Linked DNA regions of Sus scrofa. The protein of the gene in region 1 interacts with the protein of each later gene in a pairwise test. Links are inferred from orthologs where the notes say so. Each region holds a gene or a part of one and is shown in the gene's direction. Other genes may lie near its edges.

Region 1 (4,160 bases):
GAGGGTCTGGCCTGAGCCTTTAGGCCTGTGCCTCGACCTGCCTCCGTCCTGTCCTGGGAGGGCCCAGAGCGAGGGCTGGAGCCAGACTCGCCTGGTTCTGGGCGGTTCCCAGACCACTGGAAGGGATTGCTCTCTCTTTCCTGGGAACCATGGTGTGCGGGGCCGGGCTGGCGGGCGGGAGAATGCCCTGGGCGGGGAGACAGGACAGGTGCGGTCACTGCTCCACCCCTGGGCCGTCTCATGGGCTCAAGCTCAACAGGTTTGGTGCTGGTGTCCTGGGAGGGCTCGGACCTTGGCCTTGGAAACTTCTGGCTTCCTGGTTGGTGTGGGCCCACGGCTCCCAGGCAGGGCCAAGGCCTGAGGGGCAGAGCACTCTACTCACAGTGAAGGGTGGACTGCGGTGGGGGGGCCTTGGAGCCCAAGGGTGCCGAACAGCTCAGCCGGCCCTTCTGTCCCTCCCCTTGGGCCTGCCCCTCCTGCTCAGACCTGAGCAGGCTGTGCACTTCACTCATGAACCTGAGACATACCCTCCTGATCTCAAAGTGAAGGGATCGGTGTCCCCACGCTGCTCAATAAAAGCGAAAGCGCCAATGAGTAGGGGCCGTATGATGTGAAGTCCCCTCAGCCCTCAAGGGGCTGGAGGGTGGGGCCAGGTGCCGCGGGTGAGGAGCAGGAGAGGCAGCGCCTGTCTCGGCGTCCAGCAGAGACTCAGCTGCCAGCTGGCTGTCCCTGGGTCTGGCTGTCTCCTGGGAGGTCTGGGGCGGAGCGCCTTGGCCCTGGTCCTCCAGCCCCGCCTCGCCCCCTGGCTGAGCGCTCACCAGCCTCCTCTGGGCAGCTTTCCCACAGCAGGCGGGCAAGAGTGCCCAGCCTGACCTGGCCCAGGCGTGGGGGGATGGGTGGGGGCTGTTGGGGCCCTCAGGGCAGAGCCCAGGGCGCTTGGGGAGGCCATCCTTGGTGGCACAGGTGTGGCTGGCCCAGCCACCTCATCACGAAGGTGGGTGGCGGCTCAGCGGGGCGGGGACGGCCTGTCAGGGTCAGCCCTGCCCACGGGCTCCTCCCAGCCAGGGCTGCCTGAAGCTGGACGGGTGAAGGTGGCAGGGCACCGGCCATGGGGTCCCAGGGCCAGGCTGCCCTGGGCCCCAAGTACATGGGCCTCTGGGACTTCGAGGCTCGGACGGCCGAGGAGCTGAGCTTCCGGGCAGGGGACCTCTTCCACGTGGCCAGGAAGGAGGAGGAGTGGTGGTGGGCCATCCTGCTGGACACGGCGGGCCAGGCGCTGGCCGAGGGCTACGTACCCCAAAGCTACCTGGCCGAGAAGGAGACAGTGGAGTCAGAGCCGTGAGTGTCCCTGTGGCCCTTGGAGCCTTTCCAGGTGGCCCTCTTGGGCTCAGGGCAGGGTGGCTGTTGGGACAACTCTACCCCTGTGGCTGGGCTCCAGGTGGGGACAGGGGCACCAAGCTGGCCAAGGATGGGGCCCATGGATTTGTTTCCCTGTGCCCCTCCGTGGGGCTGGACCTTCCCTCCTGGCCTTGGGACCCCTCACTGGGCTTCTGACATCTCCAGGGAGGCCACAGCTGCCACGCAGTCACCTGCTGGTGTCAGGACCCAGGGGGCCGCCTGCTGACAGTGAGGGGTCTGCACAGGAAGCCGAGGCCGAGGCTGGGCCTTTGTTGGAGCAAAGCTCCACTCACCTTCCAAACACACAAAACCAGACTGGTGGCCTAGTCAGAGGAGCCGGGAAGGCCATTGCGACACGCCCGCCCTGGGTGTGGGCCACGGACGTGCTCCCTGTACCAGCATGGCTGCCCCATCATGGGCAGGTGGCTCTTGGTGGGCGGGGCCATAGGGCAGCCGTGTGCCCAAGACCCATTGCACCCCATCCCCTCCTGTGCGCTCCTTCCACTGGGCGCCTCCTGAAGAGAGAGCAGCAGACAGGACGGGCCAAGCCCTGGGCAGTGATAATGCAGGGGTCAGAGCCATTGCCAAGGCCCTGAGGCCTGGGGACTCAGCACATTCGAGAGGTGCGAAGGGGCGGGAGGCTGGCGGGGAGAGTGGATGGGAGCGATTCCAGAGGTGCTGGACCAGTGGGGGTGGGCATGGCCCGCGGGCTCCGTGCCGGCCGTGCCCTCCCCCGGGGCCCACGTTCTAACGGGACCCTGGAGTGGGGAGTGCAGAGGGCAGAGCACGGAGGCAGAGGTGTCCGGGGAAGGACCGCAGGCCCCAGCCTGCCCTCCGGAGTCCAGGGCTTGTCCCTGTGCCGGCTCTGGGGGCGGGGGAGCAAGGGCGCGTGTGGCTGCACCGTGTGGGTGGGTGTGCGCGTGGGTGCATGTGGGTGAGTCCCAGGGAGCCAGAGCACAGCACCCAAGGTTGGGGGGCTGCTGTCCCCACAGAAGGGGGTGGCTCTGTCCCCAGAGCCAGGAGACACCAGGTAGTGTCCACTTCTGGGTCCCCAGGGCCACTTGGGACCCTGGGGGGTCAGTTGAGGGGCAAAGAAGGGACCTTGGGGTCAGTGAGTGTCTGCAGGCAGCCATGTGCCAGCGTTGGGCAGGGCGGGGGCACAGCCAAGGTCTCCGAGGCTCAGGACCCCCCACCTCGCAGGTGGTTCTGCGGCCCAATCTCTCGCTCAGAAGCCTCACACCGGCTGCTGGCCGCAGGCGTCGAGCAGGGGGCCTTCCTGGTCAGGACCAGCGAAAAGCCTGGCGCCAACTACGTCCTCTCGGGTACTCCTCCTCCACTGCAGCCCCCCGCCCCCGCGCCTGAGTTGGGGGCTCCCTTCCTGCAGGCAGAGACCCCCCACCCCCGGCCCGGCTCCCCACTGCCCTGGGCATCTGGGACCTGCAGGCCCTGCCCGGGGAACTCTGATCCCTCAGTGGGTTGGGTGGGGTCGGTCTGGGTTCTCTCCGGTCGCCGTTGGGGCGCCCCCCCCGAGGGTGGGCTGCTCTCTGCCCATTCACGAGCGGGCCCCCCCATCCAGTGCGGGACAGGCAGACCGTGCGGCACTACAAGATCTGGCAGCGGGCCAGCCGGCTGCACCTCAGCGAGGCCGTGTCCTTCCCCAGCCTGGCCGAACTCGTGGAGCACCACAAGGCCCAGAGTCTGTCCCACGGCCTGAGGCTGACCTCGCCCTGCTGGAAGGTAGGGCCCCTGCCACAGCCAGACCCTTGCCTCCCCCCCCAGGCTTCAGCCCTCTCTCCTCAGGCGCCGGAACCCTCGGGTGGCGGTGGGGGTGGGTCCTGACACCCCGACTGACTGGGGACACAGCCTGGGGACGCTGGCTGCCTGGGAGCTGTGACTGTGCAGAGCTGGGGGTGGGCTGGGGACGTGCCCCCCCTTTGCCCAGTCACTGTCCCCGGGGCCAGCCAGAGGTCAGCGGAGCTCTTGCCACGCCCTAAGTCTCCAGGCTGGTGGGTGCCTGGGGCCAAGGGCTGGACGGGAATTCTGTACGAGTGGCACTCAGGCCAATGTCACTGGCCCAGAGCAGGTGGGGGGGGGTGTGTTGGCAGGCATTGGCCAGGCCACGGGCAGCCCCCAGGAGGGCCAGGGCCACACATCCCAGGCAGAAGGCGGTCCACACTTGAGGACAGGCCAGCGGCTGTCCGCCTGCAGGGGTTAGAGTGGGGCCCCCCTGAAGGGCTGGCCCTGTGCCCCTGCAGCATGAGCCCGAGCCCCTGCCCCACTGTGACGACTGGGAGAGGCCGAGGGAGGAGTTCACGCTTTGCCGGAAGCTGGGCGCCGGCTACTTCGGGGAGGTCTTTGAAGGGCTCTGGAAGGACAAGGTCCGAGTGGCCATTAAGGTGATTGCCCGAGGTGAGTGCGCCCCAGGCCGGGGGCAACTGGCCTCGGCCCCGGGGTGGGGGGCCCTGCGCTCCGAGCCCCACTCGCCACCCTGGCTTGGACCATGGGGCACCTGCTGCAGCTGCTGGCTTTCTTTCACCTGAATGCATTTACCTTAAAAGGGAATTTCAAATTCTTAATGTAAATGAAAGGAACGCCATTAAAATAGGTCTCTAGGAATCTGAAGAGGTTCCCCGCAAACCTCCCAGGGGCCCACCCCCTGCAGGAGCCGGGGCCGGGGCTGCAGGGAGCTAGTGCCGGCTCCCCAGCTGGCTGGGCCAGGTGTGAACCAAGTGACGGTACTGGTGGTGCCCAGGGCATTGGGC
Region 2 (3,516 bases), on another chromosome or scaffold:
ACGTTAGCTCCACCCACAGGTGCAGATTTGCTGAGTCGAGCTCTGCTTCCCCTATCTGAGAATTGAGCACTAAGAAAAACCTTTTTAATAAAAGTCAAAACTCCTAGTTAGAGAACAATGCTTAGGGAAGTGAAGGTGAATTTCTAGGCTGAAAGGTATTGCTGTTAGAGAGATCTGAGTAGGCGAAGGTTCTGAGGAAAGTGGCTTCCACCTCTGTTATGGATCCTCCATGCGTGGAAATGATGGGCATTTTTAATCAGATAAACCCGTTAACATGGGTCATACAGTTCCTCATATGAAATCAGTAGCAAATTTGCTTTTGTTTATCTAGTTTAGGTGTATTCACATCGCTTTTCTAATTTAACCCACACGTACAACTAAAAAAAAAAAAAAAATGTTTTTTAAAGTTCTACCCTTTGAAATTTACTGCTAGTTTGAGGGGAGAAGAGTTAAGAAAGGTAAAATATAATTAATATTATTTATGTTCTTTTTTTAGAACCACACCCATAGCATATGGAAGTTTCCAGGCTAGGGGTCAAATTGGAGCTTCAGCTGCCAGCCTATGCCACAGCAACACCAGACCTGAGCCGCATCCGTGACCTACACCACAGCTTAACGGCAACGCTGGATCCTTAACCCACTGAGCGAGGCCAGGAGTTGAACCCACATCCTCATGGATACTAGTCGGGTTCTTTACCACTGAACCACAATGGAAACTCCCTCTTTAAGTACATTTTTAACCACATTTTGTTTCTTTGAAATCCTAAAAAAATGCAAATCTCGTTGAAAACTGAGCTTGAGTCCCAATTTTGCGCAAGTTCACTAAAGTCTTTTAAACTCAATTTTCTCAATATTTCCTAATGTGAAATATGTGAACATTGTGTGAGGTGGTTGTGAGTTTAGCAATGACATGTGTTAAAGACCTAGCACACATTAGCACAGTGCATGGATCGTGTGCTGATTTGCTCTGCAGATTACTAAATTAACCAGTAACAACTTAGATAAAGGATGACAGAATCTGCTCCAAGAGAAATCCATTGTCAAGTTAAGCTGCAGGTGTGTAACTCATGCAGAATCAAGGCCAACAGAATGCTTAACCACCAACCCTTTAATGTGCTCCTCCGTCTTGACCAGGGGGAGGTGACAAAGGATAGCGAGATGCTGGGTAGAAGCCAGATGAGAATCTGGGCCAGTGGGAACTGGGCTGGGGAGGAAGCCTTGGGTCTGCTCATGTTCATGAGGAGCAAGTAACCTTTCACCACTTCTCCAAAAGTATCTAGAAGATCCTGGTTTTCTTAAAGAACAGTGGTCACCTGGAGTTTATCTGCAAGTGATTATTTGTCAGGCACAAAAATAATCCTTTTCTTCCTGTGGTGTACAGTGAAGAGTTAATGGCATTTCTGTAACTTCTTTTCAGACTTAGCATTTTCATTTAGCTGATTAAAATGTGGTGTAGATGATAATTATGCCAAGTTTTTTTTTTAATCATTCAAACACTCAGAAATGATTTTAAAAATCTTTAAATGGCTTGTACCAGATTTTCATTTCCCAAAGGATTTCTAGTTAGGGAAAATTTGCTTAGATTATGCCCTTTTGTCATCTTTTCAGTAAATGTTAAATCAATGCAAAATGAGTAGATTTGTATTTCTAAAAATAACCTCTTTCACAGGAAGAAGAACTAAGGAAGAGTGGAGAAGCCAAATATGCCCACTTGAGCGATGAACTTCATGTATTAATTGAAGTTTTCGCTCCACCTGGGGAAGCTTATTCACGTATGAGTCATGCACTGGAAGAGATTAAAAAATTCCTGGTTCCTGTAAGTGTTTTTCATTTTTTACAAAGATGTTTCTTATGAGTTTCTATTATAAAATGTGCCTTTGATCTTCACTGACTTTTTAGATGGAAATTTATGCTGCAGACTTCTTCTTTATAGAGTTGATATGAAGGTAAAAATAAAAAAGAATACCAAAACACTCAGCACAGGACCTGACATGTTGCCACATAATGACGGTTTGGCAGCAGTATTTGTCTCAACTGCATTCTGTGCCCTGCGCTGTTCATGGCCATGAAGAATAAGAATAAGAGAGTTAACACATAAACACAAATATGTAACTGAAGTTGCGTACCTTTCTCTTGTGTCTAATGACTTGGTAGTTGACACATATTATTCATAATTTTTAATAGAGAAATATTTTCAGGTACAGTGGGAGGGAAAAGAGATTGGATGTGTAATATTTGTAACAAGACGATGTGTTGTTTGAAACTATCAAATGTGCTTTTATGTCATAGTATGCCAGGTGCTGGCTCATTATAAAATATAATATAAAATACCAATATTAATAGAATTGGACATTTGTTGACGTCATGCAAAAAATTGGAAAAATGAACTCATTGTGCTAAATGAGAGAAGCAGAGAATGTTCATTTAGTAAGGCAGCAAATTCAGGGATGCACACTGAATAGAATTCTCTACTGATTTTCTAAGAAATAGAAGAACGAAGCTTTCCTAAAGGTTGACAATTTCGCATTCTAGGAAGAGGTTGTTTAAATAGAAATCTTGGCACCAGGCTTAGAGCTGGGAATAAGATAATTGGAAGAGAATGCTGAGTACGGTTTTTGGGAGTGCTCTGGCAGACCAGGTCCTCAGCAGAGAAAGAGAATAGCTAAGCTTAATCCGTGTGATGAAGAAACACTGCAGTTTTCTAAACTAATTAATGAGCTCAGAGGAAGTCATGAATCTTACAGTTCATTGGTTGGCCCGTGATTTGAGAATGGGGAAATAAACGAAAAAAACAGAATTCCAGAATGGAAAAGTGTCAAAATCAAACAACGTAATCTATGTGTAGGCCCAGTTTAAAATTCTTCTGTCAGGAAAAGGTTATAGAATAACCCCATACTGCTCTGATTATTCCATAACTTTATCTGCACACCTTATTATCTAGTGTAGTTTGAATACCTCTCTAAATAGACCCTGTATTTCTTAAGAATGAAGATCCTGTGTTCTCTACACGTTGATGCTGTTGGTTACACATTTGTACTGTATTTAGCTCAGACCAGACCTCTGATGATATAGGTATTATAGGAAAAAGCTACACCGTCTAGACTAGTAACTCATTTTGTGCCTGTAGACGAGTCAGTTAAATTCTCAGAACTTCAGCTGGATTCCCTGATGGCTCAGTGGGTTAAGGATCTGCTGGGGTCACTGCTGTGCCACAGGTTGCTGCTGTGGCAGCTTCCATCCCAGGCCCAGGAACTTGTGCATGCTGCCAGTGCAGCCAATTAAAAAAAAAAAATTAGCTGATTCATCTTTACAAAGAAGCTAAGGAGATAATAATAACTGAAGGGCTTCTGTCATAGTTATTGTGACTATTAAATGGGGTAATGCATATAAAAAGGCATAGAAAATTGTAAAGCACTATATAAATTGATGTTTTAAATCTTTTTTATTATTACAAGTAGATAAAAACCATCTTGGAATGATGGAGGTGAACTGTATAAGAGAAAATCCTATTTCATT
Region 3 (3,516 bases), on another chromosome or scaffold:
GGCGCAGTGGGTTGAAGATCTGGCATTGTCACTGCAGTGGCTTGGGTCACTGCTGTGGCTCGGGTCACTGCTGTGGCTCAGGTTCAACCCCTGGCCCAGAAACTTCCCTAGGCCATGGGTACAGACTAAAAAAATAAATGAATAAATAAATTCCAAGAGTGGAGTTCCCGTTGTGGCGCAGTGGTTAACGAATCCAACTAGGAACCATGAGGTTGCGGGTTCGGTCCCTGCCCTTGCTCAGTGGGTTAACGATCCGGCGTTGCCGTGAGCTGTGGTGTAGGTTGCAGACGCGGCTCAGATCCTGCGTTGCTGTGGCTCTGGCGTAGACTGGCGGCTACAGCTCCGATTGGACCCCTAGCCTGTGAACCTCCATATGCCACGGGAGCGGCCCAAAGAAATAGCAAAAAGACAATAAATAAATAAATAAAAATAAATAAATAAATAAATTCCAAGAGTTCCCGATGTGGCTCAGCAGAAATGAATCTGACTTAGCATCCATGAGGATGCAGGTTCAATCCCTGGTCTCACTCAGTGGGTAAGGATCCAGCGTTGCCATAAGCTGAGGTGTAGGTTACAGAAGCAGCTCGGATCCTGCGTTACTTTGGCTGTGGTATAGGCCAGCAGCTACAGCTCGGATTCAGCCCCTAGCCTGGGAACCTCCATATGCCACGGGGGCGGCCTCCCAAAAAAAGCAATAAATAAATAAATTCCAGTTCTGATGTTCATTTGCCGAGGAACAAATAATTATGGAGCCTCCCATGCCTCGGCTTCCCCATCTGCCATAGACCCACCTCATATGACTGCAGTGGGGATTACATGAATGAATGAATATGTGTTAATGCCTGGCGGGGCCCAGGGCACATTAGGTGCCTGAGCCACTGCTGGTCATGCTCTCTGAGGGGACCTCGGGGGTTGGGCATGCCCTGGGTGTGATCCCACCTGTTTCTAGGACCTTCGCCCCACTCTGGGAGGTCTTCCGAGTCTCCTCAGACAAGCTGGCGCTCTGCCACCTGGAGCTGACACGGAAGCTACAGGACCTCATCAAGGACGTGCTTCGCTACAGTGACGAACAGCTCAAGACACACAAGAAGGTGCGTGCTGTGTATGCTGCCCTGCCGGTGGAAGGGGGGTTCCCAGTGGCTTCCAGGATCCCCAGACTTCTGGGACCTAGAACCTCCAGCCCCTCGTGTATGTGCCTCTGAAAATTCTGTTAATTTGGGGACATCAAACCCAGAATCTCAAAGACCTGAGCATTGTTGAATTTCAGACTCTGAAAATTCTAGAGCAGGGGTCTGCAAACTATGGCCCTCGGGCCATATCCCACGCATGGTCTGTTTTTGTATAGCCCTCGCTCAAGCTGGCGGTGATTTTTTACTTTTTTTTCTCTTTTGGCTGCCCCATGGCATATGGAGTTCCCAGGCCAGGGATTGGATCTGAGCTGCAGCTGCAACCTGCATTGGCAGTGCTGGATCCTTTCAACCTACTGTGTCAGGCCAGGAACGGAAACTGGGTCCTGGAGCTGCAGAGACATTGCCGATCAAGTTGTACCACAATGGGAACTCTGGTTTTTACATTTTTAAAAGATTGGTAAGGAGTTCCCGTCATGGCTCAGTGGTTAACGTATCTGACTAACCCATGAGGTTGTGGGTTCGATCCCTGGCCTTGCTCGGTAGGTTAAGGATCCAGCATTGGAGTTCCCGTTGTGGCACAGTGGTTAACGAATCCAACTAGGAACCATGAGGTTGTGGGTTCGGTCCCTGCCCTTGCTCAGTGGGTTAAGGATCCGGCGTTGCCATGAGCTGTGGTGTAGGTTGCAGACGCGGCTCGGATCCCACGTTGCTGTGGCTCTGGCGTAGACTGGTGGCTACAGCTCCGATTCGACCCCTAGCCTGGGAACCTCCATATGCCGAAGGAGCGGCCCAAGAAATAGCAAAAAAAAAAAAGGATCCAGCATTGCCGTGAGCTGTGATGTAGGTCACAGATGTGGCTCAGATCCCGAGTTGCTGTGGCTCTGGCGTAGGCCGGCGCTACAGCTCCAATTAGACCCCTAGCCTGGGAACCTCCATATGCCGTGGGAGCAGCCCTAGAAATGACAAAAAGACAAAAAAAAAAAAAGTTTGGTAAAAAATCAAAATAATATTTTATGACGTGATTATGTGACACTCAGATTTCAGTACCAGTTAGTACAGTTTTGTTGGCCACAGCCACACCTACTCAAGTTCATATTGTCTGTGGCTGTTTTGTTGAGCTGCAATAACTGAGTTGAGTGTTTGTGATAAGCAGAACACATTAACTAGCGGACCCCCCCCCCGTTTTTTTCTTTTTAGGGCCACAGGTGCGGCATATGGAAGTTCCCAGGCTAGGGGTCAAATTGGAGCTACAGCTGCCAGCCTATGCCACAGCCACAGCAATTCAGAATCTGAGCCACATCTGTGACCTACACCACAGCTCATAGCAATGCCAGATCCTTAACCCACTGAGCAAGGCCAGGGATCAAACCCATGTCCTCATGGATACTAGTTGGGTTCGTTTCCACTGAGCCACATCGGACACTCCAACTATCTGACTCCTTAAAAGAAAAGGTTTGCTGACTGCTGATCTAGAGCAGTAGGAGGTACAGATCTTGTTATTTGATATTTCTAGACTCTTAACAAACCTAGAATCCTGGAAGATTCAGACCTTAGATTCTCAGGATCCCCAAATATTCAAAGCTTATAATTCTAGAGTCATAGAAGCTTTGTGTTTACAGAGCCCTAGAATCTGCAGTTTTTAACCCTTGTTTTAAAAAGGGAGTTGGAGGGGGTTCCCTTTGTGGCTTATTGGGTTAAAAATCTGACTAGTATCCATGAGGGCGTGGGTTCAATCTCTAGCTTTGCTCAGTGGGTTAGGGATCCAGCATTGCCACAAGCTGCTGGGTCGAAGATGCAGCTGGGATCTGGCATTGCTGTGGCTGTGGCATAGGCCGGCGGCTATGGCTCTGATTCGACACCTAGCCTGTAAACCTCCATACAGGGTGGGCCCTAAAAAGACAAAAAATAAACAAATAGAAAAGGAGTTGGGAGTTGCTGCTGTGGTGCAATGGGATCGGCATCGTCTCTGGAGTGCTGGGATGCAGGTTCGATCCCTGGGTGGACACAGTGAGTTAAGAATCCAGCATTGCCACAGCTTCAGCTTGGGGAAGCCACAAATAGGGGGGCAGATGGGCAGGGATGTCTCTGGTGGTCCAGTGGTTAGGATTTGATGCTTTCACCACTGTGGCCCAAGTTCAATCCCTGGTCTGGGAGGTGAGATCCCGTATCAAGCCACTGCACACTTGGGGGCTGGGGGGGGAGAAAGAAAGAAAAAAGAAAAGGAGTTGGTAGTACTTAATACCGTACACTTAAAAATGGCTAAGATGGCAAATTTTATGTGTATTTTATCACACTTTTTAAAAAATTAGGGAACAAAGGAGTTCCCCTTATGGCTCATCAGTTAATGAATCTGACCAGCATCCATGAGGACACGTATTTGATCCCT
Region 4 (3,516 bases), on another chromosome or scaffold:
AGTAGTAAAATAGTTTTATGGTGACATGAAGTTAAATAATATAAATAAAAGTAAATATAAAGTAAGTTAAATGGATCAAATATGTGATTTTCTCATTCTCTAGGACATTAAATTGTATGATTGGACAGATGAAGCATATCTTGGCTGCAGAACAAAAGAAAACAGATTTTAAGCCAGAAGATGAAAACAATGTTTTGATTCAGTATACTAATGTGAGTAAAATGATTCAATATGCTAGTAAAAATATCTGCTTTATTAACATTTTCATTGTTTTATGCTATGCTCCAAGTTTTTTTCTTTTATGTTTAGAGATTAATGAGAAATTATATTTTCTCCTTAGAGAAGCTGATATACATTTCTATGTAATAAGTATAGAAAAAATTTTACAGGCCTGTGTTAAAGTCTGTGCTTATGTAAGAAAACAAGTGGAGAAGATTAAAAATTCCATGGATGGGAAGAATGTGGATACAGTTTTGATGGAACTTGGAGTACGTTTTCATCGACTTATTTATGAGCATCTTCAACAATATTCCTATAGTTGTATGGGTGGCATGTTAGCAATTTGTGATGTAGCTGAATATAGGAAGTGTGCCAAAGACTTCAAGGTATGTATTCACAAATATCAAACTTGTAAATAGGCTCAAGAACGTAAGTCAGATCATAAAAAAATGTGTATGACTTATAATCATTAGTGGAAAGTTTATAAGTTTTGTTGGTATTGTAGTAAGACAGACCTAACATTTCCTAACTGAAAAAGTATTGTTCCAATCATGTTTTTGATATTAAAACATTTTTGCTTTGAGTTTTTTTTAGACAGGGCTATAATTTAGTTCCACAAGCCAAGTGACCTTTTTAACATCCGTAACTGATGCTGTATATGTGCATATATCAAGAAAATATGTTTTTGGAGTTTCCATCATGGTGCAGCAGAAATGAATCCGACTAGGAACCATGAGGTTGCGGGTTCGATCCCTGGCCTCGCTCAGTGTGTTAAGGATCTGGCTGGCATTGCCATAAGCTGTGGTGTAGGTCGCAGACGCTGCTTGGATCCTGCATTGCTGTGGCTTTGGCATAGGCCAGTGGCTACAGCTCCGATTCAACCCATAGCTTGGGAACCTCCTTGTGCCGCGGGTGTAGCCCTAAAACACACACACACACAAAAAAAAGAAAAGAAAAGAAAATATGTTCTTTCTTCATGTACATCTTTCTGAAACCAGTTTCCCTTAAGGTTTAAATTATTTAAGAAAACCGTTAAATTAATGATAACTAGTTCTAGTCCACAAGAGTATAATGATTATTACTATTTAAGAAAACTGAAATAATATGAATCTTACCAGAAAGATTATAGTGAGTTTATATAACATCTGAAGTATTTGAGTTTTAGTACTTCAAGAGCTTTTAAAAATTCTGAAATATTCAACTATCTAACATTACTAAGTCCTAACTACCAAGTATTTAAGTGAGAAGAATTTACAGAGAGAGTAAAACTAGAAATTATTTTGTTTCAATATAATTTTTGTCCTTCTCTTATTTCAATTCAGATTCCACTGGTATTACAGCTTTTTGATACTCTGCATGCACTTTGCAATCTTCTGGTAGTTGCCCCAGATAATTTAAAGCAAGTCTGCTCAGGAGAACAACTTGCTAACCTGGACAAGAACATTCTTCACTCCTTCGTACAACTTCGTGCTGACTATAGATCTGCCCGCCTTGCTCGACATTTCAGCTGAGGTTGAATTTACAAGGGAAATGTGTTGTACTTCAGCAGGTCTTGGTTGACAGAAAGCACAGGAGGTTTCTTATGACACAGCCAACATTTTATGGAAAAATGACTGTTTGGAAAAACAGCAGCCATACTTTCCCTTGAGATTTTATTTGAAATTTGGGCTCTGCTTAACCATATTTTGCTTTTTTCCCTTAAGTTGAACTTAATTCCATTTTTGAACTTAGAAATTTCAAATTCTGTGAAACTACATGTCATTGTTTTCATCCTAGAAAATGTTGGTGTCAGAAGGCAGATGAGATGTTAACAGTGTTCCAGTTCATGTTCTTTAACATATTCCATTGGGAGATTCCACCATCCTGTTTTGCACTAATAATGGGTAAAATACAGCAGAACTACATTTATTTATCAATTTTTAATGAACTTTTCAGCACTGGTAATTGTTAATCGAGTTATTTTAGGTTTTCCTGGAGAATATTTTTCTCTTTCAAAAGGTTAACATTTGAGCATAAATTCTATAGTTGGTTGATTGGATTTTTTCTGAAGTACAGAAAAAATATTATATTTAATACTATTCCAAGGAAAATGTTGCAAACAAAACTAAAATGATGAAGTGTTTTAGGTAGGTATTAGCACTGGATCAGAATACATCTGCTTTCTGGGTTAAAAAAACTTAAAGTTTACAATTTCTTATTTGGTAAACAGATTTTAAGCCAATGCTAGTAAGAAAGTAATAAAACTACCTTATTTTGTATTTCACTTAAGATAAGCTGGAAGATCTTAACTAAAGAACCATAAGGAAAGTAAAAAGTGAGGTATAGTCTTAATGGTACATATGGGAAGTATTGACCATGTTTAGCAGCAGTGTAGTCCTTTAAGATTTCTGTCTTTATGCTAAACTGGAATAAGAGTGAATGGCTAAACATGCAGGTAGTCTTCTATTTTAAGAGGAGTTGGGAATTGATAGCATTATATATTCTGAGTCTTGAGATGAGCTTTGCAAGGACTAGTTGCTTTTTAAATCTGTAGTTTCTGTCATTACCTTTTTCAAGGCATTTCTTAAAGTGATTCCTACTGAATGTAGTTAATTGAATTGGCTTAATATGGTGACATAATAAATCACTTATAAAATTTTAAACATCAAGTGGAAATTTAGAAAGGCCTTTACTCTGAAAACTATAAACTTGCTCTGTGAGAATGCGTTCTTAGCTATATGTGGTATTTAAGTTTCCGTTGTGTTGTCCATAGTCTTCCAGGAACAGATAAACTTTAATGTTCAACTCATTCTTGGCTTTTTTTTTCTTGAATGTAGACTTTCTGGCCTAATTTTGGAAAATTACTTTTAAGAATATGTTTCTGAATATTCATCAACTTTACCAAAATTTCCAGGTCCAAAGCAAATTAGCTACCATTTAAGTTACTATTGACTGAATTTTCTTCATTTTCTGTTTAGCCCAGTGTTATCAAGGTAAGCAAGAGAAATGAAATATGCCAACTTTTATCAAAGCATTTTAGGAAATCGTGGCAGCTTTAGAAGGCTGTCTAGTTTTCTATTCCTTAGCCGAAGGAGAGCCAGAACAGGCTTTGGATACTAGAGAAAGTCATAGGCTTGTACTTTTGCCATTTTAGAAAGCTCTGATGTGAATTCAAATTATACCTCTGTTACTTAAAAGCCAACAATTTTAAAGCAGTAGTTCTACTGGCCATTTGAACTCTTTGTACACACTGTCAATTTGTTTAAAAAAAAGGGAAAAATGATCAAATAAAACATAAAACATTTTAAAGACTTCCAA

What was found. The genes of interacting proteins can lie anywhere in the genome.
Region 2: the proteins of PTK6 (region 1) and KHDRBS2 interact in binary tests that used the Homo sapiens proteins (3 or more experiments, as listed by UniProt). The two-hybrid records come from large-scale screens. The link is inferred for Sus scrofa from reciprocal best matches to the Homo sapiens genes PTK6 and KHDRBS2.
Region 3: the proteins of PTK6 (region 1) and FCHO1 interact in binary tests that used the Homo sapiens proteins (3 or more experiments, as listed by UniProt). The two-hybrid records come from large-scale screens. The link is inferred for Sus scrofa from reciprocal best matches to the Homo sapiens genes PTK6 and FCHO1.
Region 4: the proteins of PTK6 (region 1) and EXOC5 interact in binary tests that used the Homo sapiens proteins (3 or more experiments, as listed by UniProt). The two-hybrid records come from large-scale screens. The link is inferred for Sus scrofa from reciprocal best matches to the Homo sapiens genes PTK6 and EXOC5.

Annotation. Positions count from the first base shown.
Region 1 is NC_010459.5:62,543,620-62,547,779, reverse strand, and holds the start of PTK6 (protein-tyrosine kinase 6), read left to right. Parts: upstream 1-1,344; 5' UTR 1,345-2,326; coding exon 2,327-2,720; intron 2,721-2,974; coding exon 2,975-3,135; intron 3,136-3,653; coding exon 3,654-3,807; intron 3,808-4,160. UniProt on the Homo sapiens protein: Non-receptor tyrosine-protein kinase implicated in the regulation of a variety of signaling pathways that control the differentiation and maintenance of normal epithelia, as well as tumor growth.
Region 2 is NC_010449.5:27,616,068-27,619,583, reverse strand, and holds part of KHDRBS2 (KH domain-containing, RNA-binding, signal transduction-associated protein 2), read left to right. Parts: intron 1-1,669; coding exon 1,670-1,816; intron 1,817-3,516. UniProt on the Homo sapiens protein: RNA-binding protein that plays a role in the regulation of alternative splicing and influences mRNA splice site selection and exon inclusion. Binds both poly(A) and poly(U) homopolymers. Phosphorylation by PTK6 inhibits its RNA-binding ability.
Region 3 is NC_010444.4:59,973,478-59,976,993, reverse strand, and holds part of FCHO1 (F-BAR domain only protein 1), read left to right. Parts: intron 1-949; coding exon 950-1,091; intron 1,092-3,516. UniProt on the Homo sapiens protein: Functions in an early step of clathrin-mediated endocytosis. Has both a membrane binding/bending activity and the ability to recruit proteins essential to the formation of functional clathrin-coated pits.
Region 4 is NC_010443.5:186,381,702-186,385,217, reverse strand, and holds part of EXOC5 (exocyst complex component 5), read left to right. Parts: intron 1-103; coding exon 104-212; intron 213-389; coding exon 390-605; intron 606-1,541; coding exon 1,542-1,730; 3' UTR 1,731-3,516. UniProt on the Homo sapiens protein: Component of the exocyst complex involved in the docking of exocytic vesicles with fusion sites on the plasma membrane.